7 linked regions of the Macaca mulatta genome follow. The protein of the gene in region 1 binds, or shares a complex with, the protein of each later gene. Links are inferred from orthologs where the notes say so. Each region holds a gene or a part of one and is shown on either strand. Other genes may lie near its edges. The genes, in order: SF3B5, SF3A2, CWC27, SF3A3, PHF5A, DDX46 and CWC22.

Evidence for each region.
Region 2: SF3B5 (region 1) and SF3A2 share a complex: the UniProt entries of both Homo sapiens proteins name them as parts of the 17S U2 SnRNP complex. The link is inferred for Macaca mulatta from reciprocal best matches to the Homo sapiens genes SF3B5 and SF3A2.
Region 3: SF3B5 (region 1) and CWC27 share a complex: the UniProt entries of both Homo sapiens proteins name them as parts of the minor spliceosome. The link is inferred for Macaca mulatta from reciprocal best matches to the Homo sapiens genes SF3B5 and CWC27.
Region 4: SF3B5 (region 1) and SF3A3 share a complex: the UniProt entries of both Homo sapiens proteins name them as parts of the 17S U2 SnRNP complex. The link is inferred for Macaca mulatta from reciprocal best matches to the Homo sapiens genes SF3B5 and SF3A3.
Region 5: the proteins of SF3B5 (region 1) and PHF5A are in contact, whole or in part, in a cryo-EM structure (PDB 7EVN), measured with the Homo sapiens proteins. The link is inferred for Macaca mulatta from reciprocal best matches to the Homo sapiens genes SF3B5 and PHF5A. Residues at the interface, in NP_112577.1 of Homo sapiens: Arg4, Tyr5, Thr6, Ile7, Gln10, Leu14; in NP_116147.1 of Homo sapiens: Pro6, Asp7, Leu8, Ile9, Phe10, Cys11, Arg12, Ile88, Leu91.
Region 6: SF3B5 (region 1) and DDX46 share a complex: the UniProt entries of both Homo sapiens proteins name them as parts of the 17S U2 SnRNP complex. The link is inferred for Macaca mulatta from reciprocal best matches to the Homo sapiens genes SF3B5 and DDX46.
Region 7: SF3B5 (region 1) and CWC22 share a complex: the UniProt entries of both Homo sapiens proteins name them as parts of the minor spliceosome. The link is inferred for Macaca mulatta from reciprocal best matches to the Homo sapiens genes SF3B5 and CWC22.

The regions. Positions count from the first base shown.
Region 1 is NC_133409.1:49,348,244-49,350,573, forward strand, and holds SF3B5 (splicing factor 3B subunit 5), read right to left. Parts: upstream 1,194-2,330; 5' UTR 1,093-1,193; coding exon 832-1,092; 3' UTR 501-831; downstream 1-500. UniProt on the Homo sapiens protein: Component of the 17S U2 SnRNP complex of the spliceosome, a large ribonucleoprotein complex that removes introns from transcribed pre-mRNAs.
Region 2 is NC_133424.1:2,994,037-2,997,783, forward strand, and holds the end of SF3A2 (splicing factor 3A subunit 2), read left to right. Parts: intron 1-1,321; coding exon 1,322-1,371; intron 1,372-1,450; coding exon 1,451-1,591; intron 1,592-2,173; coding exon 2,174-2,242; intron 2,243-2,335; coding exon 2,336-3,136; 3' UTR 3,137-3,247; downstream 3,248-3,747. UniProt on the Homo sapiens protein: Component of the 17S U2 SnRNP complex of the spliceosome, a large ribonucleoprotein complex that removes introns from transcribed pre-mRNAs.
Region 3 is NC_133411.1:72,813,327-72,817,400, forward strand, and holds the start of CWC27 (spliceosome-associated protein CWC27 homolog), read left to right. Parts: upstream 1-1,274; 5' UTR 1,275-1,491; coding exon 1,492-1,533; intron 1,534-4,074. UniProt on the Homo sapiens protein: As part of the spliceosome, plays a role in pre-mRNA splicing. Probable inactive PPIase with no peptidyl-prolyl cis-trans isomerase activity. As a component of the minor spliceosome, involved in the splicing of U12-type introns in pre-mRNAs.
Region 4 is NC_133406.1:202,826,384-202,829,883, forward strand, and holds part of SF3A3 (splicing factor 3A subunit 3), read left to right. Parts: intron 1-776; coding exon 777-941; intron 942-1,053; coding exon 1,054-1,164; intron 1,165-2,384; coding exon 2,385-2,475; intron 2,476-3,500. UniProt on the Homo sapiens protein: Component of the 17S U2 SnRNP complex of the spliceosome, a large ribonucleoprotein complex that removes introns from transcribed pre-mRNAs.
Region 5 is NC_133415.1:10,036,557-10,040,806, forward strand, and holds the start of PHF5A (PHD finger-like domain-containing protein 5A), read left to right. Parts: upstream 1-1,450; 5' UTR 1,451-1,489; coding exon 1,490-1,541; intron 1,542-1,991; coding exon 1,992-2,015; intron 2,016-2,506; coding exon 2,507-2,673; intron 2,674-4,250. Other genes in the region: ACO2 (aconitate hydratase, mitochondrial), read right to left, coding at 960-995.
Region 6 is NC_133411.1:143,681,062-143,684,561, forward strand, and holds part of DDX46 (probable ATP-dependent RNA helicase DDX46), read left to right. Parts: intron 1-2,034; coding exon 2,035-2,178; intron 2,179-3,500. UniProt on the Homo sapiens protein: Component of the 17S U2 SnRNP complex of the spliceosome, a large ribonucleoprotein complex that removes introns from transcribed pre-mRNAs.
Region 7 is NC_133417.1:84,939,753-84,943,938, reverse strand, and holds the start of CWC22 (pre-mRNA-splicing factor CWC22 homolog), read left to right. Parts: upstream 1-1,386; 5' UTR 1,387-1,426; intron 1,427-4,186. UniProt on the Homo sapiens protein: Required for pre-mRNA splicing as component of the spliceosome. As a component of the minor spliceosome, involved in the splicing of U12-type introns in pre-mRNAs. Promotes exon-junction complex (EJC) assembly.

The sequences.
Region 1 (2,330 bases):
TTATTACGTCTACAGTGTTTGACCTCCTTTCTCCACCACCAGCATAATGTAAGCCTCAAGAACATGGGAAAATGCCTGTCACATAGAGCTCAACAAATATTTGTTGAATATAGAAAGGATGAACTCACTTGCCAGCTTGTCATTTCTGGAGACATGGCCACAAATTCCCAAGAAAAAGAAAGGATGCATTTTAAAGAGGCTAAGGAGGACAATGACAGCAAAGACTGCAAAGACTTTTAAAACGGGAGAAAAAGAAAATGGGATACAATAACTACAAACTTCAATACTGAAGGCATTGTGGGCCTGAAAATAACGCTCTTGGGAGAAGTGGCAGTCGGGGAATTAATTATAATGGTAGACAGGGTGGATTTAAGTACCTGATCATGGACACTGGCATGCACTCCCTCCCCCGACCCATTTCCCGCTCGGGTCTTTCAGGAGCCCTCCACCCTAACACAGGAAGTTCACACCAAGAGACTTAATGATTTCTAAACTTTATGGAAAAAGCCAATGACAATCAATTAGCCAAAAATGAGACGCCAAATCCCATCTCATTCCAGCGCCACGCCCTCTTCTCAAACGCTTGCCGGCTCTAGGCCCTCTTCACCAGCACAGTTCTCAGGAGTTCTGCTGGTCTCCCAGTGCTATTCCAAAGGGTTCACATGAAGGCAGGTCAGGCGGGATTCCCCGGGCAAGCACTTCTGTACGCGGAAGTACCAGACGCAGGAGCCATGGAGAGCCGGTCCTTTGGAGGCAGAAATAGTCGAAGGGATTGGCCAACCTGAGGAACACTGGGAGAGGTGCCCCGCACAGTGGTGGTAAGGCAGAGTCTCAGTTCTCCTCGGGCTTGTCGGCTGGCGGTCCACAAGGCTGAAGCATCTTCTCCATCAAATTGAAGCGGACTCGCGCTTTGCTCTCATTCTCTGCAATGGCGAAGTAGTTGAGAAGGTCGAAGTGGCCCATGTAGGAGCAGTACGAGTCGCGGTGTTGGTTCACCAGCCACTCCCACTTGGTGGTGTCGGCGTGGCCCGTGCCGATGTACTTGGACTGCAGGTGCTCCAGCTGGCTGTGGATGGTGTAGCGGTCCGTCATCTCGCCGCTTTCCCCTTAGTTCCCAGGACAGAGGACGCAGACAACAAACCGCCGCTCTGGCGTTTCACGCGGGAGTGAGGCCACCGTGCGGAAGCTCCAGGCCCGCGCCGTCGCAGAAGAATGGCGTCACGACGACTAAGTAGCGTAAGTCTCGCTCATAGGGCTCAAAGGCGGAAGCGGAAGCACATTCTGTCACGGAATTGGAGTTGCCGAGGCGACGCCACAAGTGTGTCGCCCCTGTAGAGAGCCCCGCCCCGTCAGAGAGCGTTGCATGATGGTCCACTTGGTGGCTATGGGAAGCCCTTTTCCAACAGGGAGCCTTGCATGCTGGGACTTGTGGTCTTGGGAGTTCGTGCTCGTAGTCTTCTGGAACTCCTGGTCTCGTTTTGTTGTTTGAGACAGAGACTCGCACTGTTGCCGGGACTGCAGTGTAATGGCGCGATCTCGATTCACTGCAACTTAACGCCTCCTGGGTTCACGCGATTCTCCTGCCTCAGCCTCTCCAGTAGCTGGGATTACAGGCGCACACCACCACGCCAGGCCAATTTTTTTTTTTTTTTTTTTTTTTGTATTTTTAGTAGAGATGGGGTTTCACTGTCTTTGCCTGGCTGATCTCGAACTCCTGATTTCGTGATCCTCCCTCCTCGGTCTTCCAAAATTCTGGGATTACAGGCGTGAGCCACTGCGCCAGGCCCCTGGTCGCGTTTTAAAAGTGATCTGGGGACCTAGTGGAGGGTGATGTCTGGGAGGTGGGGAGCATCCGTGGGTGGCTTGGGGCTGATGGGAAATGGGAAACCCAAGTAGGACTGGACTACAAGCAGCCCCGAAAATAAACTCTCCGTGTTTTCCAAAGCTATCATGGTAGCACAGCCATCCCTTCACAACCAGGGATGGATTACCCAGAAGTCGGCAGGCACAAGTTCTGGTCCCAGCTATGTCTTTTAGGAGTCTGTGGCATAAAAGAGTTATTTCAGCTCTAACCAGGGTGCTTGGTGAGCAAGTACAGCACCAATTCCCACACATTCCGGCTTCCACCTCAAGCTCCTCCTTCCCCTCTAGCCACTTATTTTGATATCCTTCCTCCAAGGCCTCACTGCACCCTACTTGGCCCTTCCATTCAGTGGGTTTTGTGGATTCAACCGACCCGATTGAAAATATTTGGGGAAAAAGTCAGTCTGTACTGAAGTGTAGACTTTTTAAGGTTATTATTCCCTAAACAATACAGTATAACAACTATT
Region 2 (3,747 bases), on another chromosome or scaffold:
GAGCCCGATAAGCACCCGTCTCACCCAGCGGCCCCTTTCCCAGCTGAGCCACAGTCTGTGCCCTCCTGTCCGAGTGTTGTGGAAGCTTCTGGGGAGTCTTGCCAAGCCAAAGAGTGGAAGTGGAGGTGTGGTGAGCCCTGGCACACTCCTCCGGTTAACCTTGAAGCCTCTGAAGGAGGACAGGAAGAAGCGGCTGTTAGAGGCGGCTCCTCCGGGACCCTCAGCAGTGGGAATGGCAGGAGGTGACCTGGTTCAGAAAGCCAGGGAAGCGGCCAGGGTGGAAGAGACAGACCTTGTGTCTGTAGGGTCAGGAAGGCGGGCACGCTACCCAGCAAGTGTTTTTTTTTTTTTTTTTTTTGAGACAGAGTCTCGCTCTGTTGCCCAGGCTGGAGTGCAGTGGCGTGATCTCCACTCACTGCAAGCTCCACCTCCCGGGTTCACACCATTCTCCTGCCTCAGCCTCCCGAGTAGCTGGGACTACAGGCGCCCGCCACCTCGCCCGGTTAATTTTTGTATTTTTAGTAGAGACGGCGTTTCACCATGTTAGTCAGGATGATCTCGATCTCCTGACCTCGTGATCCACCCGTCTCGGCCTCCCACAGTGTTGGGATTACAGGCATGAGCCACCGCGCCCGGCCCCAGCAAATGTTCTTTACGGAAGATGGGGACAGCCTGTGTGCCTGGCCTCCAGACAGGAGCCTGCAGGGCACAGGCCCCGGGGCAGGTGTGCTGGGTGGACGAGGGTGGCTAGAGCGGCAGACTCCTGGTGGGGAGGCCCTGACAGGTCCTGAGCTTGGGCTCAGGGCAGTGAGGAGGTGGAGGGCTTGTGAGTGTGCGTGTCTGAGGCTGCTTGGAGAGTGGCCAGGCCGTAGGCGGCCCAGCAGCCATTCTCGGGGTCCAGGCTGCTGAGCTCTGGTGGGAAAGGCATCCTCTCCCGCTCACCCTATAGATGGTGTTGGCCCTGTTCAGGCGGCCCCACTCTAATCCCAGAGCCAGGGTGCCATGGGCCGCTCCCTACCCAGTGGCCCCGACTCCTGCTGGATAGTGTCCCAGCACCCTGGGTGAAGGGCTCTGGGGATTAGGACAAAGGAGTACCACCCTCGGTCCCTGCCCGAGTGACTCCGCAGGTAGCTCAGCCCTGGCGCACCTGTGCCTTCACCTATACCAGAGTCCCAGAGCCTGGGCGGATTGGCGGTTGCCTGGAGCCACAGGGCCTCCCCTGGGGTCTCGCCCTCGTTCAGTGGGTGGCATTAGCCTGCCCCAGGTCCCTCAGCTTTGGGGAGGACAAGCAGCCGGGACCTGAGAGCTTTCTGTGTTGCAGTGACCAAGCAGAGGGACTCGGAGATGGGCCAGCAGAGCCTCCTCTTCCAGGTGAGATCAGGGGCTTGGGTGTGGGGGGCGGCCGAAGGCACCTGAAAGGTGGCGCTGCCACCCGGCTGTGTCCCCACAGATCGACTACCCTGAGATCGCCGAGGGCATCATGCCACGCCACCGCTTCATGTCTGCGTACGAGCAGAGGATTGAGCCTCCGGACCGGCGCTGGCAGTACCTGCTCATGGCCGCTGAGCCCTATGAGACCATCGCCTTCAAGGTAGCATGGCTGCGGGGTCCCCTGGGCCCCAGGGCCCCCTGAGATGTGCGAGCCAGAAGGATCTGCACAGGCTGGGCAGGGCGCCCCTCCTATCAGGCTGTGGGGTCCCCTGGGATCCCCGAGACGGAGCCAGAAGGGTCTGTGCAGGCTGGGCAGGGTACCCCTCCCATTGGGCTTTGCAGGAGGGGGCCTGCTTGGGCTCCACTGTGCCCATGGAGAAGGGAGGCCGGCAGGGCTGAGCGCTGGGCCTGTGAGGCCTTCGCCAAGTGACCTCGCTTCTTGGTCTAGGCTGCTGGAGGGCTTCCCACAGCCTGTGCCTACGCCTGGACAAAGCAGCCATCAGGAAACAATACAAACGGTGCCTGTCCAGGGCGGGGGCCAGCGTGTGCTAGCGTGGAGGCCGGGTCTGTGTCACTCCAGAACTGAACCCTGTGCCCATCGAAAGTCTTACCAGGCCGGGGCCTTCTCTTGGGCTCCCAGGGTGGAGTCCGGGCCGGGGAGGCTAACGCCTCAGGCTCCCTGCCTGATGGCTACCCTGAGGTCACAGGGACCAGGAGCCCTCTCTGTCCCCCGCCTTCCCAGGTGCCGAGCAGAGAGATTGACAAGGCGGAGGGCAAGTTCTGGACACACTGGAACCGGGAGACCAAGCAGGTGAGTGGCTAGCCCTGAGCTTGGCTCCTTCCTGCCCAGCCCCGGTGGCCCTAGCCCTGCCCGTGCCTGCTGAACCTTTCTCCGTCTCTCTAGTTCTTCCTCCAGTTCCACTTTAAGATGGAGAAGCCCCCGGCTCCGCCCAGCCTCCCCGCCGGCCCCCCTGGGGTGAAGCGGCCTCCACCTCCGCTGATGAATGGTCTGCCCCCTCGGCCACCGCTGCCCGAGTCTTTGCCACCGCCACCGCCGGGAGGCCTACCTCTGCCACCCATGCCCCCCACGGGGCCTGCACCCTCAGGGCCCCCGGGACCACCCCAGCTACCCCCACCAGCTCCAGGGGTCCACCCCCCGGCCCCAGTGGTGCATCCCCCCACCTCTGGCGTCCATCCCCCAGCTCCTGGCGTCCATCCCCCAGCTCCTGGGGTCCATCCCCCAGCTCCTGGCGTCCATCCCCCAGCCCCTGGGGTCCACCCACCAACCTCTGGGGTCCACCCCCCGGCTCCCGGAGTCCACCCTCCAGCCCCCGGGGTTCACCCTCCAGCCCCCGGGGTTCACCCACCAGCCCCCGGAGTCCACCCACCAGCCCCGGGGGTCCATCCTCCCCCATCAGCGGGGGTTCACCCCCAGGCCCCAGGGGTACACCCAGCAGCCCCTGCTGTTCACCCTCAGGCCCCGGGGGTGCACCCACCAGCCCCAGGGATGCACCCTCAGGCCCCGGGAGTCCACCCCCAACCTCCCGGGGTCCATCCATCAGCTCCTGGGGTCCACCCTCAGCCTCCTGGAGTTCACCCCTCAAATCCTGGGGTACACCCCCCAACTCCCATGCCCCCAATGCTGAGGCCCCCACTCCCCTCCGAAGGCCCAGGGAACATACCTCCCCCTCCCCCAACCAACTGAGAAGCTGCTCCCTCCCCCAGCAAGCTCAGCGCCAGGTGCTCCTGCCTTTTGCCATCGAGAGAAGGCTGCTCTTTTGTACCGCCCCCTGCTCATTAAACAGCCTTCCCCAGCCCCGAGTGCACTGATGTCTGCAGCGCCGCCCTCCCTTGTCAGTGCTGTGTGGGAGTGCCAGGCACAGCACCATCCCTGAGTTTGCGCCGACTGGGGAGGGCCTGGGGCCTGCCGGGAGACACCTGTGGGAGGCCTGAGAGACAGCTGTACCTTGGAGGTGGCCTGGTGGAGGACAGACTCCACCAGCCAGCTAGGAGGGGGTCTGGGGTCCTGTCCTGGGGAGGGAAGAGCAGACTCTTGTGATATCCTTGGGGTCTCCAGATAGCCCACCAGGGGTTGGGAAGGTGAGCAGGGACAGGGCGCCCCCACTGACTTGGGACCCTCCTCCTCCAGGCCCACCCCTTAGCACCCAGGACATCTGGGCCCCCCGCCCCCAGCGCTGTCTAGTCTGGCTGCTTGGCCATCACTCCCAGCCTGGTTCCCACTCCTGTGCCTTCTGGGGACGGGCCCTCAAGGACAGCATGTTGACAAATCAGGCCCAGCTCTATCGCTGTGGGGAG
Region 3 (4,074 bases), on another chromosome or scaffold:
TACTGGGAAGGGCAGGTTTAAACAAAGTTAGGGCTCTGAACCATAGTAATTCTCAGAATCTTTTCTATTACTAAGGCGCACTGTGAATTTCCAAGTTGGGAGGTGGGGTGTAGGAGTGTATATTTCTGAAAATGTCTCCTGCAACCACTGTTCTGCAGTGGCAAAGCCAGTTTGAGGAGACGCTCTCAGCTACTAGAACTTCCAAGTAAGCTGGTAGTTGAGGAGAGAAAATCTTTTAAGTAATTATTCTGCAGAGTTCACCGTTTTTAGGTCAGTAACTTCTGGACACAGAATTTGAGAGTTAGAATAAATCTTATATATAATTCAACAAAGCTCCTTCTTTTTATAAGGAAACTGAGGCCCAGAAGCACAAAACGACCAATCTATGGCCACGGAGCAGCTACATACAACAGGAAGAGCTAGGAGTAGAACCGGGACACCCGGTGGGTCCTAGCGACTTCTAGGACAGACGACGCCTCTGGTTACCTGGGTCGGCCAAGTGTTCCCACTTCAAATTTTAGTTTTAAACCATACCACAGTTAAGGTAGTTTTTCTTGGCTGCTCGCCCCCTTAGGCCCACAGTTACAGTCTCCCCCTCCTCCCTCCCTTCCACAATACACTTTCCCTGTAATCCCATGCAGCTGGGGCTTGGCTCCTGGGGGAAGACAGTTACTTTCTTTCCTTCAGAGTGTATCTTTGGAGTGTAAACTTTTTCATGTAAACAAAACAAACCTGTGAATTTTAAGGCCTCCGCCTAAGTCCCCATGGGCACTGATCCCCACACCCCGCACCCTACCCTACCCTCCCTTGTGCTCCCTTCGGATCTCGGACGCAGAGGCCCTGTAACTGCTCCTTACCTGGGACTGCCATGACGATGGTAAGGGGTCACTTGAGCCTCCGGCTTTCGAAGTGGCGCTTGCTTCCCGCCAGCTGCGAGAACAAGGCACAGCCAAAGCGCCGTTTTCCTTCCCCCAGCGCAGCAGCACCTTCGCTACGGTGAGGAAGGCCCTGTACGTTTCTAGCGGCAGCAGAACCAGTAGACGCGGATGCAGTTTCCGGACGAGTCATAGTGCAGAAGACACATGGTCCGAACCATTACTGATAGTTTTTTTGGGGGGGGGGTCAGTTTGATCTGCACACGCGAGTAGTGTAAACACAGCCAAGACTTATGAAGTGTCCCTTCTAATATTGTAATACAAATTACATTAAGCTATAATAACTTTACAGACTTCTCTCGTTCCCTGGAGTACACTGGAATAACCCTTCTCAGGGTTAGCGGTGCTCGGGTCCGGTAACAACATGGCGGCGTCCGTGAGGGGCTCCTTTAGGCAAGGGCAGTGTTTGGTGTCCCCGTCTTGCGTGATATTGACAAACTGAAGTTTTCCTGCATCACTCGACTTAAGAAAGAGTGTACTCCTAGGCGGACAGCTTTAGTGACCGGCCGTCCGCTCTAATCCCTCATAAGGAGCAGAGTCCTTTGTACTGACCAGGATGAGCAACATCTACATCCAGGAGCCTCCCACGAATGGGAAGGTGAGAGCCTCATCTAGGGAACTTGGGGTCCTGGGATCTCCAAAGTGAGATTTCCCAAATTTGGGGTGGGGGACGGGTTTCGGGATCTCGTGGTAGGAAGAGACCACGATAAGTGTTGTCTTTACTCCTGCATGTGGACAATGTTGCGTCGAAACACTGAAGTTTATACTTTTCAGGACGTACTTGAAAAAGTCAGGTGGAGATTTCTCTACCTACCAGCATTCCGGTCCTATTTTCTGCTTTAACCCAGCTCATGCAACCGATTTCTAGAGTCTTAGGTTTTTAAACGTACATTTCTGAGTTTGGTATATTCTTTGCTTAACTTTGAGGTCATTCATTCTGCATTTCTTCTGCAATCATTAATTGAACGCCTGCTAGGCACTGGGCACTGTACTAGGCGCCGGAGATACAAAGATGGATGGGTAAGGTAGTTGTTTTCCCGGAAGAGCTTATAGTTTAGTTTGTGAGACAGGTAAACAAAAGCCTGTATGTCTGATAAGCGTGCTTGTGGAGAAGAGACCACGTTGCTATGGCGGTACTGAGTAGTGAACAACTGGGAAAGTTAGGAAAAACCTCATGGAAAAGGTATCTTTTGAGCTGATTTTAAAACCTGAGATGACTGTCAGTCAGAGAAAGTGGGAAATGGGGACTGTTACCACATTAGAGTGGGGAAAGGTTCCTCTAATTGATTTGATGGCTAATGTATGCCAATTCCCATCCAAGGTGTTTGTGTTGAAGAGTCCGTTGTGGAATAACTGTCACCTGAATTCTTAAATTGAGACCTAGCCTATCTCATATGAAATTTGATGAATCAGCATATTGGAGAAAATGAGATTTAAATTATATAGTTGAATTAAGATAAGCTAAATTTACACAACATACCATCCTGTTCGTTACATGATTACATCATAAATAATTTATGCAGTCTTTTATTCATTGACATTTGATAATATAATGAGAGCAATTTAAAAGCAAAACCAAAAATGCTGTAATTCCCAGCAAAAATTTAATGGGTATTTTGGGCAGCTCAATTCTTTCAATTCTTTGAACTTCTCCTGGGCATTGTAGGTTACTGGGTCCATCCCACCCCTCACCTATCTTATTTAATATCAATGTGAAAACCCAAAATACCTACCTCCTCCTATTTCCAAATGTTTCTTGAGGGCAGTATCACCCCCAGTTAATAAATACTGGTAGAGATTGAATAGATTTACCATACTGCCAGACAGGGCGTTCACACTTGCTGTTCCTCTATTTAATCAAGTGTTGACCTTAGCGAAGAGTCCTTTCTTACCTACTTTCTATGAAATAGCAAACTTCAATCATGCCTTGCATCCCAGCATTCTCTGGCCCCCTTAACTTTTTTAGTTTTTTTCCATGGTATTTATTAATTATTTGGTATTACTGTATCCTTCCTCCTACCTTCCCCCTATAGAATGCAAGGAACATCAGGGCAGAGACAAGCATCTAGAACAGTACTTGATACATGATAGAAGGAGTACAGTTATGTATTGAATAAACGAATGGATGGATGAATTAATACTATATTTTTCTTAGTTTTTTGAGGAATATTAAGCATCAGTGAGTTTGAGGTTACACTGCTGCTGGTCAAGGACAGACTTAATTGCTTTGTTGTAAAGGAAGATTTGACATGGTCACATAGATGAAAAGCTTTAACAAGGATATATTCCTGAATAGATTATTCATTCAACAAATAATGATTGAGCAAATCAATTGCCAGGCTCTATGCTAGGTTTTAGGGATACAACGGAAACAAAAAAAACCACATTGTCTGAGTTATCATGAGTTAATTGAGTGAAGTATACATTGACTGAATAATCATGCAAATAAATGTTTAACTACAAAATGTGATAAATACTGTCTTCTGAACAGAAATGGGCTGAATGATAACACAAGGGCCCAAGTTTTCATCCAAAAACAACTTGGGACTTTTTCCACCATAAGGCTCATCAAAGATATTAAAGCTTCTAAGTTCTGTAAGGTTGAGAGTGTGGACAAAAATTTGGTGTGTGAAGAATTTGAAGCAAATGTAATAAGTCTGTTCAATGAATGTTTATTGCCTTGACTATCTAATGGTACATTAGGTACTGAAAGGGTACAGAGACATTCAGAGTAAATGGGACAAAATTCCTCCCTTCAAAGTGCTTAGTATCAGCTTGGGAAGTAATTGATAATGATACCAGTGCTTGGTCCCTGGTTGTCCATAAATGTTCTGTGTTTTGCTGTAACCCTAGCCCCTGAAGATGAGGCAAAGAAATATAGTACTTGATAGAAATTTTTTAAGCATAAGAGGTAATTCCCTGAAGATGAAATTTCCACATATTATGATCACTTATTCTAAATTGTGTCTGGCGTCTTCACTTAGCATAATGTTGCTTTCAAATGATAGGGGTCTGTCTTATTGTTGTACATACTTAGTTTTTAAATGTATTGAAAATCAAAATGGCTTTATAAGTATATTTGCATATATATTTATAAGAAACATGATATTATCAAAGTATTAATTGGGAATTTTAAGAG
Region 4 (3,500 bases), on another chromosome or scaffold:
GGTCCGCTTGGTGCAGAGCTGAGTTCAATTCCTGGATATCCTTGTTAACTTTCTGTCTTGTTGATCTGTCTAATGTTGACAGTGGGGTGTTAAAGTCTCCCATTATTATTGTATGAGAGTCTAAGTCTCTTCGTAGGTCTCTAAGGACTTGCTTTATGAATCTGGGTGCTCCTGTATTGGGTGCATTTTTTTTTTTTTTTTTTTTTTGAGATGGAGTCTCACTGTGTTGCCCAGGCTGGAGTGTAGTGGTGGTATCATAGCTCACTGCATCCTCAAACTCCTGGGCTCAAGCAGTCCTCCTAACTCAGCCTCCTGAATAGCTGGGACCACAGGTGCACACCTCCATGCCTAGCCAATTTGTAAATGTTTTGTAGAGATGGGATCCCCCTGTGTTGCCCAGGCTGATGTCAAACTCCTGGCCTCAAGTGATTCTCCCACCCCAGCCTCCAAAAGTGATGGGATTACAGGCTTGAGCCACCACACCCAGCCAGGAAATATTTTAGAGTCAGAATAGATGAGACTGTTTTCTGTTGTTCTACAATAGCCTCAGATGAGTAATCAGGCAAGTAATGTAAAACCTTTTACTCTTTGCTTTGGGTTCAGGTAGAGCCTGCTGATAAGGAGTTCTGATATGAAGGCAAGATTTTCCTTTATTCTATAAGAAAGAACCTTATCTTTGGAAGTAAGGGGTCAGCAAAAGTTGTAGGAAAACAGGAAATTTCCCTTCTTATTCTGCACTAGTTTTTTCTGACTTTTCATTTATGGACCTGCCTTAGGAACAGCGACATCTCACTCATGAAAATGTACAGCGCAAGCAAGCCAGGACAGGAGAAGAGCGAGAAGAGGAGGAAGAAGAGCAGATCAGTGAGAGTGAGAGTGAAGATGAAGAGAACGAGATCATTTACAACCCCAAAAACCTGCCACTTGGCTGGGATGGCAAAGTAAGTCTCAGAACTACCACTTTCTCCCCATTCCCTATTTTGGAAACAGATACAGAGTTTAGTAGGCTAACACTACTTCTTGTTTTTTTTTTTTTTCTTTTTTCTTTTTTAGCCTATTCCCTACTGGCTGTATAAACTTCATGGCCTAAATATCAACTACAACTGTGAGATTTGTGGAAACTACACCTACCGAGGACCCAAAGCCTTCCAGCGACACTTTGCTGTAAGGAATTCAGAGCCATTTTTTCTGGGAATTGAAGTAAAAACATGAGACTTTTAGAGAAAGAGAGTAGAAGTAGCCTATGTGGACCTCTGGTGTCCAGAGCCGAAGGGAATCAGAGAAGGATGGTTTTAAAATCAAGCCCATGGTGTTTGACTTTTGGCACCAATGTTAGTCTTAAATACCTGAGATAGTTTCTGGAGGAATTCTACCACTCTGCTCTTTAAACCTTACTTGGTTTTCTCTTGCCTGCTCTTAACGCTTCTCTGTTTTTGTCGTTCTGCTAGCATTTTAGACCAACTTCTGACTTCTTGGTTATTTCTCTACCCCATTACTAATACTCAAGATCAAGAATAGGACTTACCTCTTTCAGATCATAAATGGATCTTTGCCTCTTGAGAAAAAAAAAAAAAATTAAGGGGCTGATCTTTATCAAACCATTCTTGAGACAAGGTATTGTCCAGGTGGTACTGCTGTAAGTGGGCTCATCTCTAAGTGGGCTCTACTTTTAGTTCTTAGATTTTGGAAGGACATTTTACAGAATGGAAAAGATTTATGCTAGACCAAGGATGACAAATTTATATGAACTCCTCTCCCCCTCTCTGAGTCATACATATTACTAATTGATCCTGGGTCTTTTTTGCTGAGCCCATGAGTGAGTTCTGAATCCTTCCTAGCACCTCCTACAATGATTGGAGTTGGCATCCAGATAAAGCCTGTGCCATTTACCATCCCTTAGCTAAAACTGCCATCATGTCAGTGTATAATCTCCCTGCTCTCTCCTCCCCACATCGTTGTGCCTGATAAAAGTCTTCTCCTTTACCTACAAAGATGATGCTGACCTGCCATTAGTAACCCTATTCATGCAGGTGTTTGGAGTTGCTGGGGCTTTGGTGAGTTCTCCCGCAATATGGGAGATGTAGTTAGAGTTGTGATATTTTCCTGTGATCTTGACCCAGAGGTTTTATGTGTAAGACTACTGGGTCTGGAATGTAGGTTTACAAGCCAACCCAGTGAGGCAAACAATGCGATGTGTCTTTGAAATACCAGCCTTTTGTCAGTCACAGCCAGCGGTTTACAAACATGAAACACAAAAGGAATGCTGCCTTTCGGTGGAGTCTTGTAAAGGGCCACGTTAGGATTTATGAGTAGAATGGAGTTAGTGCTCTGTGTGTTCAGCTATTCCCATTTCACATGATCCTTTTGCTTCTCTCTTCTCCCAGGAATGGCGTCACGCTCATGGCATGAGGTGTTTGGGCATCCCAAACACTGCTCACTTTGCTAATGTGACACAGATTGAAGATGCTGTCTCCTGTAAGTAACATTTATTTACTGTCTCCTAGGCCAGTACAAATGGCCTGTCCTCCTTCGAGTCAGCATCCTGATACCTTGTGTATCCAGGATTAAAGGCAGTAGGTTGTGGATATGTAAAATCTGAGACAGTTGTATTATTATTGCATTTCTGTTTTTTGTTTTGTGGTTGTTTTTTTTTGTTTTTTGTTTTTTTGTTTTTTTTTTGGGATGGACAGAGTCTCGCTCTGTCGCCAGGCTGGGGTGCAATGGCGTGATCTCAGCTCACTGCAACCTCCGCCTCCTGGGTGCGAGCGATTCTCCTGCCTCAGCCTCCCGAGTAGCTGGGACTACAGGCACGCGCCACTGTGCCTGGCTAATTTTTTTTTTCTGAGATGGAGTCTCACTCTGTCACCCAGGCTGGAGTGCAGTGGCACGATCTCAGCTCACTGCAAGCTCCGTCTCCTGGGTTCATGCCATTCTCCCGCCTCTGCATCCCAGTAGCTGATACTACAGGCGCCCGCCACCACGCCTGGCTAATTTTTTGTATTTTTAGGAGAGATGGGGTTTCATAGTGTTAGCCAGGATGGTCTCGATCTCCTGACCTCGTGATCTGCCCGCCTTGGCCTCCCAAAGTGCTGAGATTACAGGCGTGAGCCACCACGCCCAGCCTTTGTTTTGTTTCTGAGACAGAGTCTTGTTCTGTCGCCAGGCTGGAGTACAGTGGTGCAATCTTGGCTCCTGCAACCTCCGTCTCCTGGGCTCAAGCAATTCTCCTGCCTCAGCCTCCCTAGTGCCTGGGATTACAGGCAAGCGCCACCACGCCCAGCTAATTTTTCTATTTTTAGTAGAGATGGGCTTTCACCATGTTGGCCAGGCTGGTGTCGAACTCCTGACCTCAAGTGATCTACCCACGTTGGCCTCCCAAAGTGCTGGGATAACAGGCGTGAGCCACCGCACCTAATTATTGCTTTTTTTTTTTTTTTTTTTTTTTTTTTTTTTGAGATGGAGTTCGCTCATATTGCCCAGGCTGGAGTGTGATGGTGCGA
Region 5 (4,250 bases), on another chromosome or scaffold:
GTGAAAAAATCATCTGGCAGTCGGTCAGCTTTCTAGATAGCTCCTAACGGGGGAGTCAAGGTCAAACTGGAGTCTCCTTATCCTCCCATATTTGACAAGCAACTTACTGTGAGCTCAAAATATTCGTATTGCATTCTGACAAACAGAAATCATCGCACCCTGGTTCAGAAAGTTCTGTGAGGGCAGGCTGACATAAACAAGAACTCAGTGGTGGTAGGGCCCATGCTTCTGCCACAGCACTTCGGTGACACTCTAAGAACCAGAACTTCCACCTACTTTCTACCAGTTTTATCACCTATCAAATGAGAAAAATCATCTCATTCCTATGATTACATGAATCAAATAATATTATGAAGAATTAAAAAACAGTCCTCAAATCTTGTGCAAACGTGAGAGACTATTATTATTATTTACTACGTAGGGGCCCAGAAGACCACCTCCCCCCCTCGGGCATTCCATGTTCCGCAGGGTCCTCAAAAGGTGGTACAGGGTCCTAGTTTCTTCTCCAGACTCCAGGCCTGGCAACCGTAGATGCTGTCATGTCTCTGTTGCTAAGAGATGGGAAGTGAGGCCTCAGGAACTGGGCCTAGAAGGCTCAACAACGACCGCGCCCCCTAGTCACCTTGTCCTCACCTTGAGGAATGGAAAGACACCCCACGGGAGCAGGGAATGCTGTCCTCAAAAAGAAGAAAGAGGTGCCTCCGCTCTTCACCCGGCCGCCGCTGCTTGGGCCCACGCTTCTTGCGAGGCGGGGACAGGGCCAGGAAAGCTGACTGTGCCGGGGACGCCTTGACCTAGGGCACCAGAGGAGCGGACACGGGTGCCGGGCCCACAACCGGAACAGGTACACGAGAAGTTGGCCCCAGGTCGGGCCCGCCTCGCCCTGCCTCGCCCATAGCCGCCGGCACAGTAGAAGGCACCCCGCCCCCGTGAACCCAGAGGTCCCTGAGCTCGCTCACCTGCAGCCGAGTCACCAGTAGGCTGTAGGGCGCCATTTTGTGCACTGACAAAGATGAGGTCGCATGCAAGTGACGTCCCAAACGGCGCCTTTTAAAGCCTTTGGGCAGGGGCGTGCCCGGAAGAGTGGGGCGTCACGGTGAAGGCGAGGCCTCCCTAGGGGCACCAGAACCCTGGGAACGCAATGAGCGGAGCTCAAGAGTAATGAACAGACACGCAAGAGGAAATAGAACTGCCTAAAGACACTTGCAGAAGTAGATACCAAGCACAAATATGTTTTATCCAAGAACAAATTTTAGTTATCTCTGCCATCCAAATCTGGGAGTGTTTTTAAGACTTTCATGCACCTGCCAGGACCTGGCCACACAGCAGCGACAGAAACTCGCGCGAGAGCAAGAGGGGCCTGGTGCAAGGATCGTAAACTGACGGAAGCTTAGAGGACCAATCACAGCGACGTGGAGGCAGGAACAATGGGAAATAAAGGTCGGACGGAAGTTCCCGAAGCTTCCGGTGGCCGGCTTAATTGGGAGCTATGGCTAAACATCATCCTGATTTGATCTTTTGCCGCAAGCAGGCTGGTGTTGGTGAGACTGCGCCCTGCCCCTGTCTGTCTGGGTAGGGGTGGTATTAGGAGCTGGGGGGTCGGGGGTTCCCATCACTTCCTTAGTGGCTTGCCCAGCTGGCGCCACGTTTCCCGCCTCTCGGGCGCGGGGTGTTGTAGGAACGCACAGGTTTGTGGCCGCTGATGAGAAGAGGGCGGGGGTGCGCGTGCTGGGAGCCCCAGGCAGGTATCGGGGGTGGGGTCTGGGCCAGGTCCACAGAAACTCAGAGCTTGCCCCAGGACGTTGGAGGAGATTCAGAAGGGTGGTTGGGCTGTGGGTTTGGTTCATTTGGAAATTTGTAATGATAAAATGGCTATCCGCAGGTATCACTGCAGTCCGTACTCATTTCCCTACCCCCAGCTCCAGGATGTACTTCCCGTTTGTCAAAACCTTTATTCTAATTGTACTTTTTAACCATCTTTCATCTTGCAGCCATCGGAAGACTGTGTGAAAAATGTGAGTGGAACCTTCCGTCCCAACAGCCCACCCTTCCCACTCCCAGTTTCTGTGGAACCAGCAAAAGTGCCACAAAGAGGGCTTTGAGTAGATGTGCCTGGAAGTATGTGAACACTGAATGCTGGACTTCAACCAAAGGCCCCTCTGTCTCCCCACTGCCACTTGCACATTTAACGCTGTATCTCTCTAGTTTTCAACAGGAAAAATTGCCAGAGTAGCATGACCCCTCCCTAATACACAGCACTTTGCCGCCAATTATATAGGCTTATCATCTCTGAGGTGATTTTCTAGGCTCTTTACATATGTTAATTGATAAACTTTTGTATATGTTGAGGGACTTGAGATGGATACTGGGTAAACCAAGTTTCGTGATGCCAAGAGGAGGGTCCTAAAGTCACTGTCAAAAGGAGACTAGTGTATTTCCCCATGGCAGGAGATAGCAGAGGACTGAAGAACTTGTTGTGAGTATGACTCCATTCTCTTCCTTACAGGTGATGGCAAGTGTGTGATTTGTGACTCCTATGTGCGTCCCTGCACTCTGGTGCGCATATGTGATGAGTGTAACTATGGATCTTACCAGGGACGCTGTGTGATCTGTGGAGGCCCTGGGGTCTCTGATGCGTATTATTGTAAGGAGTGCACCATCCAGGAGAAGGATGTAAGTGTACAGCTTTCCATCTGACCTTTCCTGCTTTTGTTTCCTGCTTTTTTGCCATCCACTGCAATCTCCTATGGTCTATGGAGATTACTGTGTTCATCTAGTCATCTAGGTTATAATTTTTTCAAGTTCTGTGAGTCAAACTGGGTGTAGTTCAATAAAAGGCAGTTATTTTGCATCAAGGGGAAAAATGCAAGGGAAGCAAATCTTTGTCAAGACCAGCAATTTGAAGAGCCCTCTCTCTATTCATGTTTCTCTGTGATTATTTTTATTCAGAAATGACATCCGGCTGGGCGTGGTGGCTCACACCTGTAATCTCAGCACTTTGGGAGTCCAAGTTAATGAGGATCACTTTAGTCCAGGAGTTCAAGACTAGCCTGGGTCACAGAGCAAGATCCCATCTCAAAAACAACAACAAAAAACAATTTGGTTTTTTGGTTTTGTTTTGTTTTTTTGTTTTCCTTTTTTTTGAGACAGGGTCTCTTGCTCTGTGGCCCAGGCTGGGGTGCAGTGGCATGATCACGTGCAAGGCTCACTGCAGCCTTGACTCCCCCGGGCTCAAACGATCCTCCCACCTCATCCTCCCAAGTAGCTGGGACTGCAGGCATGCGCCACCACACCTGGCTAATTTTTTTTTGTAGAGACAGGGTCTTGTCTTGTTGCCTAGGTTGGTCTCAAACTCCTGGGCTCAAGTGATCCTCCTGCCTTAGCCTCACCAGGTGCTGGGATTACAGGCATGAACCATCACTCCTGGCCAGAAAAACATATTTTTCATTAGTCGGGTGTGCTGGTGTGTACCTGTGGTCCCAGCTACTTGGGAAACTGAGGCGGGTGGAGGATCACTTGGGCCCAGGAGGTCAAGGCTACAGTGAGCCATTTTCATGCCACTGCACTCCAGCCTGGGTGACAGAGACCCTGTCTGTTTATAAGGCCTGTACAGCCCATGTTGTGTCATAGCCACTCATTAATGTCTCAGATCTATCATTAAGCACTATTCGGGTGTATATCGTGACAAAGTTGAATTTGGGACGATTCAAGTTGACTTCAGCTTTAAGCAGGTAACAAGTACCTTTGGTTTAATATTGCAGAAGTGATTGTGGCCCTGCATCATGACTTTTTTTTTGTCCCTTGACACTGCGTAGTGGCAGTGGTTACTTACTATTCAACTATCTGAGCCAAATGCCAGGAGAGAGAGCTTATAGACCAGTGCTACAGGCAAGGTTTACCCCATTTCTTTCGTTTAGTATTGGCAGCAGGGATTTTGTGGGGGAAAACTATGAATCAGCATGTTTTCTTCAAAAAACAAAACAAAAGGAAGTATGATACAGTCTCACTAGGTTAATGATAGTACCCAGTTATCTAATTTATTTATTTATTTGTTTTTTATTTTTTGAGACGGAGTTCACTCTTGTTGCCCAGGCTGGAGTGCAGTGGCACAATCTCGGCTCACCGCAACCTCCGCCTCCCGGGTTCAAGCAATTCTCCTGCCTCAGCCTCCCGGGTAGCTGGGATTACAGGCATGCGCCACCACGCCCAGCCCATTTTGTACTTTTAGTAGAGACGGGGTTTCTCCATGT
Region 6 (3,500 bases), on another chromosome or scaffold:
CATGGTGAAACCCCGTCTCTACTGAAAAAAAAAAAAAAAGAGTTAGCCAGGTGTGGTGGTGCATGCCTGTAATCCCAGCTACTTGGGGAGGCTGAGGCAGGAGAATCACTTGAACCCCGTGGGGGTGGAGTTGCGGTGAGCAGAGATTGTGCCATTCATTGCACTCTAACCTGGGCAACAAAAGCAAAATTCTGTCTCAAAAAAAAAAAAAAAAATTAGCCGGCATGTTGGTGCATACCTGTATTCCCAGCCGCTCGGGAGACTGAGGCAGGATACTTGCTTGAACCCGGGAAGCAGAGGTGCAGTGAGCCGAGATGGTGCCACCGTACTCCAGCCTGGGCGACAGATCAGGACTCCATCTCGTAACAGAAAAATAGAAAGTAATCTTCTGTACACACCACACCCAGCCAATTAAAAACAGCTTTTCATAGAGATGGGGGTCTTAACTGTGTTGCTAGTGGCCTCCCAAAAGGTTGGGACTACGGGTATGAGATACCATACCTTGCCCAGTTTCTCATTAAAATAGGAAAGGAAGACAAGGTTGTGTTGTGAGTGGATCACAGAAAGAATTTAACTTCATCCTTTTCAGACATTGGAGTACATTGGTATTACATAGGATTCAAGGAAAAAATTCTCACGTGACAATGTGGGTAGTGCTAACTAATTCATTTTCACATTTTGTGGTCCTAGTACAATTTCACACAATTCAAGTACTTAAGTGAAAATGGTTATTTTAACATTTGGTCTTTGACTTTTTGGTGTGAAAGTAGAATCATAAGATTTTAGAGCAGGCCGGGCGCGGTGGCTCAAGCCTGTAATCCCAGCACTTTGGGAGGCCGAGATGGGCGGATCACGAGGTCGGGAGATCGAGACCATCCTGGTTAACACGGTGAAACCCCGTCTCTACTAAAAAACACAAAAAACTAGCCGGGCGAGGTGGCGGGCGCCTGTAGTCCCAGCTACTCGGGAGGCTGAGGCAGGAGAATGGCGTGAACCCGGGAGGCGGAGCTTGCAGTGAGCTGAGATCTGGCCACTGCACTCCAGCCTGGGTGACAGAGCGAGACTCCATCTCAAAAAAAAAAAAAAAAAGATTTTAGAGCAAGAAGGATTTCAAAGATGTCAAGTGAAGTCTCCATATTTTATAGATGATGAAACTGAGACCCAGAAAGTTGGAGATCTGACCTGTATCATGTCATTAGTTACCAGGAGTAGCTGGTAGGATAGAAATTCTTGCCTCTTCATCTTCAGATCAGTGATCTTTTAGTAGCCCCATTATGCCCATCCTTATACTTAGGTTTAGGCTATCTGAAACTAGATATTCTATCTTAGACCATCAATTTTAAATCGATGTTAATTACAGATTTATTATGTTTTTTCACAAACATCTTTATGAAATTAGTATTCTCTGGCCTGGCATGGTGGCTCATGCCTGTAATCCCAGCACTTGGGGAGGCTGAGGCAGGCAGATCACCTGATGGGAGTTCGAGACCAGCCTGACCAACATAGAGAAAGCCCATCTCTAAAAATACAAAATTGGCTGGACATGGTGGCACATGCCTGTAATCTACTCAGGAGGCTGAGGCAGGAGAATCGCTTTAACCCAGGAGACAGAGGTTGTGGCGAGCCGAGATCGTGCCATTGCACTCCAGCCTGGGCAACAAGAGTGAAACTCTGTCTCCAAAAAAAAAAAAAAAAAAAATTAGCCTGGCATGGTGGTGCAGATCTGTAATCCCAGCTGCTGGGGAGACTGAGGCAGGAGAATCACTTGAACCTGGAAGGCAGAGGTTGCAGTGAGCTGCAATTGTGCCACTGCACTCCAGCCTGGGTGACAGAACTGAGACATTGTCTAAAAAAAAAAAAAATTAGTATTCTCATTTCTTTCATTGAGCACTTGTAAGACCTGGCTTTACTTCATTGAGATCTCTGCCTTTAATGATGGTAGTAATTAAGATTCTTTCAATGTGGGACAGAATCCTGATTTGAAATAGTAACTCCATTTGGTCATAGAATAAATGAAAAGTGTTCCCCTTTCAGACGTTCCAGAAGTAGAGAGAGAGACAGAAGCCGAGAGCGAAGAAGATCTCGAAGTAGAGACAGGAGACGCTCAAGGAGTAGAAGCCGGGGCCGGCGATCCCGATCCTCCAGTCCTGGCAATAAAAGCAAGAAAATTGAGAATAGGTAATGTTATCATTGGGCTCCATCTATAATGCATATTGGGGACTGCTTCCCTTCTCTGCGCCTTTCTTTTTTTTCCTTTAAATTTATTTTTGTAGAGAATTAACTGTATTTGGCTCCTACCATGAACTGTTGGCAATGTTTTATTTTAATCGGTTATAATGTTTGTAATTCAGCTGGAAAATACTAGATTCTGTCAGTTTTAACAGTCAATACATTGTATTCTTATTTAATACATACTATTGATCGGAAATGTATTTTACAGACATCTTTGTAGAAACTCTGTCATTTTCTTTTCAGACAAGGTCTCACTCTGTTGCCCAGGCTGGAGTGAAGTGGCAAGAACATAGCTCACTAACCTCAAACTTGTAGACTCAAGCGATCCTCTCACCTAGGCCTCCAAAAGTCCTGGGATTATAGGTGTGAGCCACTCTGCCCATTCTGGAAGTTCTATTTCAGTTAAAAACAAAATATAAATTCAGAAAAAGTGAGCAAAATATAAACATACAGTTTATTAGGATTGGGTGCGGTGGCTCATGCCTGTAATCCCAGCACTTGGGGAGGTCGAGGCAGGCAGATCACAAGATCAGGAGGTCGAGACCAGGCTGGCCAACATGGTAAAACCCCATCTCTACTAAAAATAAAAAAATCAGCTGGGCATGGTGGCACGTGCCTGTAATCCCAGCTACTTGGGAGGCTGAGGTGGGAGAAATGCTTGAACCAGGAGGCGGAGGTTTCAGTGAGCTGAGATGATGGCACCATTGCACTCCAGCTCTGGGCAACAGAGTGAGACTCTGTCTCAGAAAAAAAAAAAAAAAAAAAAACATGTAGTTTATTAAGTAATTATAAAACAAATATCATATGCCCACCATCAAAGTCAAGAAATAAAACATTGTCAGTATCCCGTAAGTCCTCCATTTATCTTCTCTGACCTAACTCTCTACCTGCTAGGTGAAACCACTGCTGACTTTTGTGCTAGTAATTTTCTTCATTTCCTTATAGTTTTACAACTGCGTTTGCATCTGGAAAAAAAATTTAGATTTATGTTTTCTTTTTATCTTTACATGAATGGAGTCATGTGTTCATATGTGTCTTTGCTCAACATTGTTTGAGATTCACATGTTACAGCAGTAGTTCATTTTCGTTGCTGAGTAGTATTCTGTGGTATAAATATCCCATAATTTATCCATTCTGCTGAAAATGGATGTTTGTTTTAACCTTTGGGCTATTAGCTTTTGTGTGTGTATCTCTTGGTATATATGCACATAACTTTTTCCTAGTGTGCATTTCTAGAAGTGAAAGTGCTTGGTTGTAGAATAAACATA
Region 7 (4,186 bases), on another chromosome or scaffold:
TTGACAACAAACAGTTGTCAACAGTTTGGCAACACCCTCACAGACACACCCAGGATCAATACTTTGCATCCTTCAATCCAATCAAGTTGATATTCAGAATTAACCATCACAGATAGTATTGTGGGTTTTTAAATATATAAATACAAATGTTCATCTCCAGATCCATCTCCTGTGCCCTGTATTGGTACACCAAAGTGCACCATCAACAATGGCCAAATATCTTAAATATGAAATAAAATAGATAACACTATTGTATACTAGCAATTATCTTAAACGTATCTTGTGAATCAACTAATTCAATTCTTACAACTACTGCATGAATGGGTACTACTAGTATTTCCATTTAACAGATCAGGAAACGGCCACAGAATGTGAAGTTACTTGCCCCAATCATCCATAAATAATCAAAGGACTCAAGATTCAAACGTAAGTAGTCCAACTGCAGTGTTTTTATTCTTAATTCTCACACTTTGCCTCCAGAAAGGAGTGGAAGCACAGCACCCTAAAACTGTAATAGAGAAGTGTGTGGAGAAATCAGGCCTGGTTTATGAAAGATTTGATAACATAAAGATATTCTTGTTTTAGAAAGAGAGTTTCCAAAATAGTAAGTAGTTGAACTTTTACGTTTTGTTACTAGTGAAAAGTGAAGTTTAAAGAAACAATTTGTTTGATGCCCTAGTTCTGTATGCTGTACAAACTGCTACTTCCTACTCAGCCAGGCAATCTCCTTATTCTCAGGTCATACCAGTTGGTACCTTAACTTAAAAGACAGGCAACATAGTCTCTACAGAATTATTTTTTCCTCATTATTTCACTCTATTTATGATCTAATATTCTCCCATTCTCTTGGCTTGGATGTCTTGGAATTTATTAGGCACTTGACTCTTGGTCAAACTCTTATAAAAAAAAGTCTCAAGAAAATCTCTCACTTAAGATTTTCAAGGAAAGTGACAACTGACTACTAAAAAAAAAAAAAAATTCCCAAAATGCAGTGAAATACTTTTAGATTAAAGTAAATTTGCCTAGACCCTAAACACTGCTAGGCTGCCAGTCAGCAGCGTGGATGTTAACTCGCTGGCGCGCATCTGTATGAACTACAATTCCCATCGTACACCGCGCCATTTCACCGCTAAACTACAATTATGCTTTCGTCATTTCCGTCAGCACAGGTGCTGGATTTCGGACTTTGTAGTTCATGCCAACTTCTTTTTAGTCGCCATTTTGATAAGAATACAGTGTGCCTGGATCGACTGCTTTGACTCTGGCATTATGATATGGTATCTGAAATAAATTAAAAGGATAACGCGTCAAGCCAATTGAGCGTCAAGTTTTTATGTATTTCAGTATCTGCCTTGTTCCTACTGTCGGTGCTCGGGAAGAGGAAGTGACGTACATCCGGTGTAATGGCGGCGCGGTGCAGCTTTAGGTAATTATCGAACTCCGCGGAGTCCCCGTAGGCACCGAAGCGGAGCGGGGGTGGCGGGTTGCCGGGTTGGGTGGGAAGTGAAAGACCCTGAGGAGTGGGTGCGGGCTCACTGATACGGCTGTGAGCGGCATTGGAGTGTGCGTGGGTCTTCCCGCCACGCTCGGGCCCGCGAGAGGGGTGTGAGAGTGGCTGGGTCCGAGGAGTCCAAGCGGGTGGGGAGCGAATGGGCTGCGGTGAACTGACTGACTGCCTGAGCGGACCGGCTGACCTTCCTTGTGAGGTTCCTGCAGCTGTCTGAAGTCCTGCACCAACGCTGGTGCTCTGTTGTTTCGTGTGCAGTGTGTTTTATACTTAGAGCCTCTGGAGTCCATTGGGCTTGCCAAAGCCCCTTTCCCAGTGCCTGGGGAGTGGGATTAATGAGCTCTAGTTGATTAAAAGTTAGTTGAAGTACTTGCACTCTTATGCCTCTTTCCGGCGTTATATCCCTTTGGCTATTTGTTTTACGTTTCATTAGCGGTTTCTTTTTCATTTATTTGCCCTGTAAATACTGATAGTTTCTGGAGTTTAGTTTTGAAGACGCTTCGCTTCTCTTGTGTCCTCTTCACCTGTCATTCTTGATCCTTACATAACTTGAACTATCTCCAATGAGGTAATAACTGCTAAACTTGGGTGTCCAGACTCCACCTCTCTAAGGAGCTTTGGGTCCTGTAACACAGCATTATAGAACGGAAATATAATCGTTAATTTCACTGAGTTTAACTGCAAAAACTACCATACCTATTTCCACTTAATCCTAACAATTCTTTTGAGGTAATTGGAGAAGGCAGGATTTGGAGAAAGGCTATTCTAGATGCAAGAATTAGGTAAGAGTTTCCTTTGCATTTTTGGATGTGCAGAGACTCGAAATAGCAGATAAACAAATTGGGTCCTCAGCAGATCAGTTATCCTACCTCTTATCCGTATTTAGACTTATCTTCTTGTAGGATTGCTTGTGAATTCAGGAGTTAACACAGATTATCCTACTATGCAAGGGCAGATTTAAAATTGACATTAAAAGTGTGGTTTTGACCAGGAGAGGAGAAGCCTTGTTACAGGCCTTATCAGTAGGTTGAGGAAAGCTACTTTTGTTGGTCCTGGGTGATGGACTAGTAGACCAAAGATTTCAGTTTTATTTAGCTATTATTAGGTCTGTCACTTGGAGCAAGTTAAAGTCTCTATTATATATAGTCAGCTTCATCATCTGAAAACATGTAGGTAATAATACAATACCTGCCTCACTGTGTTGTCTTTTTTTGAGTATAAAGAAAATAATGCAGATGAGGCACTGAGCACAGTGCCTGATATACAGTGTTAGCTTTGTATTATTGTAAATTGCTACTATGATACAGTTGATGAGTTCTGTCTGTGCCTCAGTTCTTGCCCTCTGGGTCTGAGTGTTGCCTTTCCACCTTTAAGTGTCCTTCCAGGTTTTTTTTTTTTTTTTTGAGACGGAGTCTCACTCTGTCGCCCAGGCTGGAGTGCAGTGGCGGATCTTGGCTCGCTGCAAGCTCCGCCTTTCGAGTTCACACCATTCTCCTGCCTCAGGCTCCCGAGTAGCTGGGACTACAGGCGCCAGCCACTACGCCCTGCTAATTTTTTTTATTTTTAGTAGAGACGGGGTTTCACCATGTTAGCCAGGATGGTGTCTATCTCCTGACCTCGTGATCCACCCACCTCAGCCTCCCAAAGTGCTGGGATTACAGGGTGAGCCGCTGCGCTCGGCCAGTGCCCTTCTAGTTTTAAGTGTCCATGCCACTTTTATGGAGTCTTACCCAACTCAATTGACTGGGGCTCTGAGACCGTCTTGGTTATAAGTTAAAGGCCAAGAACTTTGATCTAATACCCTGGTCTAGTGGTTCCAAAAATGTGGTCTCCTGAATCAGCAACATCTCTTTGAAGCTTATTAGCAATGTAAATTACTGGGCTTCACCCAGTTCTGTTGAATCAGAAACGTAGAAATGCAGGCCCAACAGTTTTTTTTTTTTTTTTTTTTTTTTTTTTTTTTTTTTGCGCCAAAGCATTCGAGTGATTCTCATGCCAGTTAGTTTGAAAACTTCTGCTCTAGCCCATCTTTTAGGGGCATGCTATGGTTCATCCTCCCCCTGTCCTCAGAATCAGGTTTGTTTCCCTCCTTGCTCCAAAGTACTTGATCCATGGCCAGCCAGTATTTATTATTATGCCACCACATCCTTCCCTGCTTTGGATAGATTACCTCCAATCACTTTTTGGAGTTCTGACACTTCCTAGACTACCTGGTTTTTCTAAGCGAGCTTTCTTAGCTCTATTAGCTTTCCCAGCTGTTGAATTTTTAGAAGTTAATTCTTCTGTTGGGGCGCGATGGCTCATGCCTGCATTCCCAGCACTTTGGGAGGCCACGGCAGGCGGATCACTTGAGATCAGCAGTTCGAGACCAGCCTGGCCAACATGGTGAAACCCTGTCTCTACTAAAAATACAAAAATATGTAGCAGGGTGTGGTGCTGTGCATTTGTAGCCCCAGCTACTCGGGTGGCTGAGGCAGGAGAATCACTTGAACCTGGAGGCGGAGGTTGCGGTGAGCCGAGATCACTCCACTGCACTCCAGCTTGGGTGATAAAGTGAGCCTCTGTCTCAAGAAAAAGAAGAAGAAAAAGAAAAGAAGTTAACTCTCCTTCCCCATGATTGAACATTGTTGAATGACCTACAGTGGCTTGTACCTGAGACCACCCAGAAGACAGCACGGT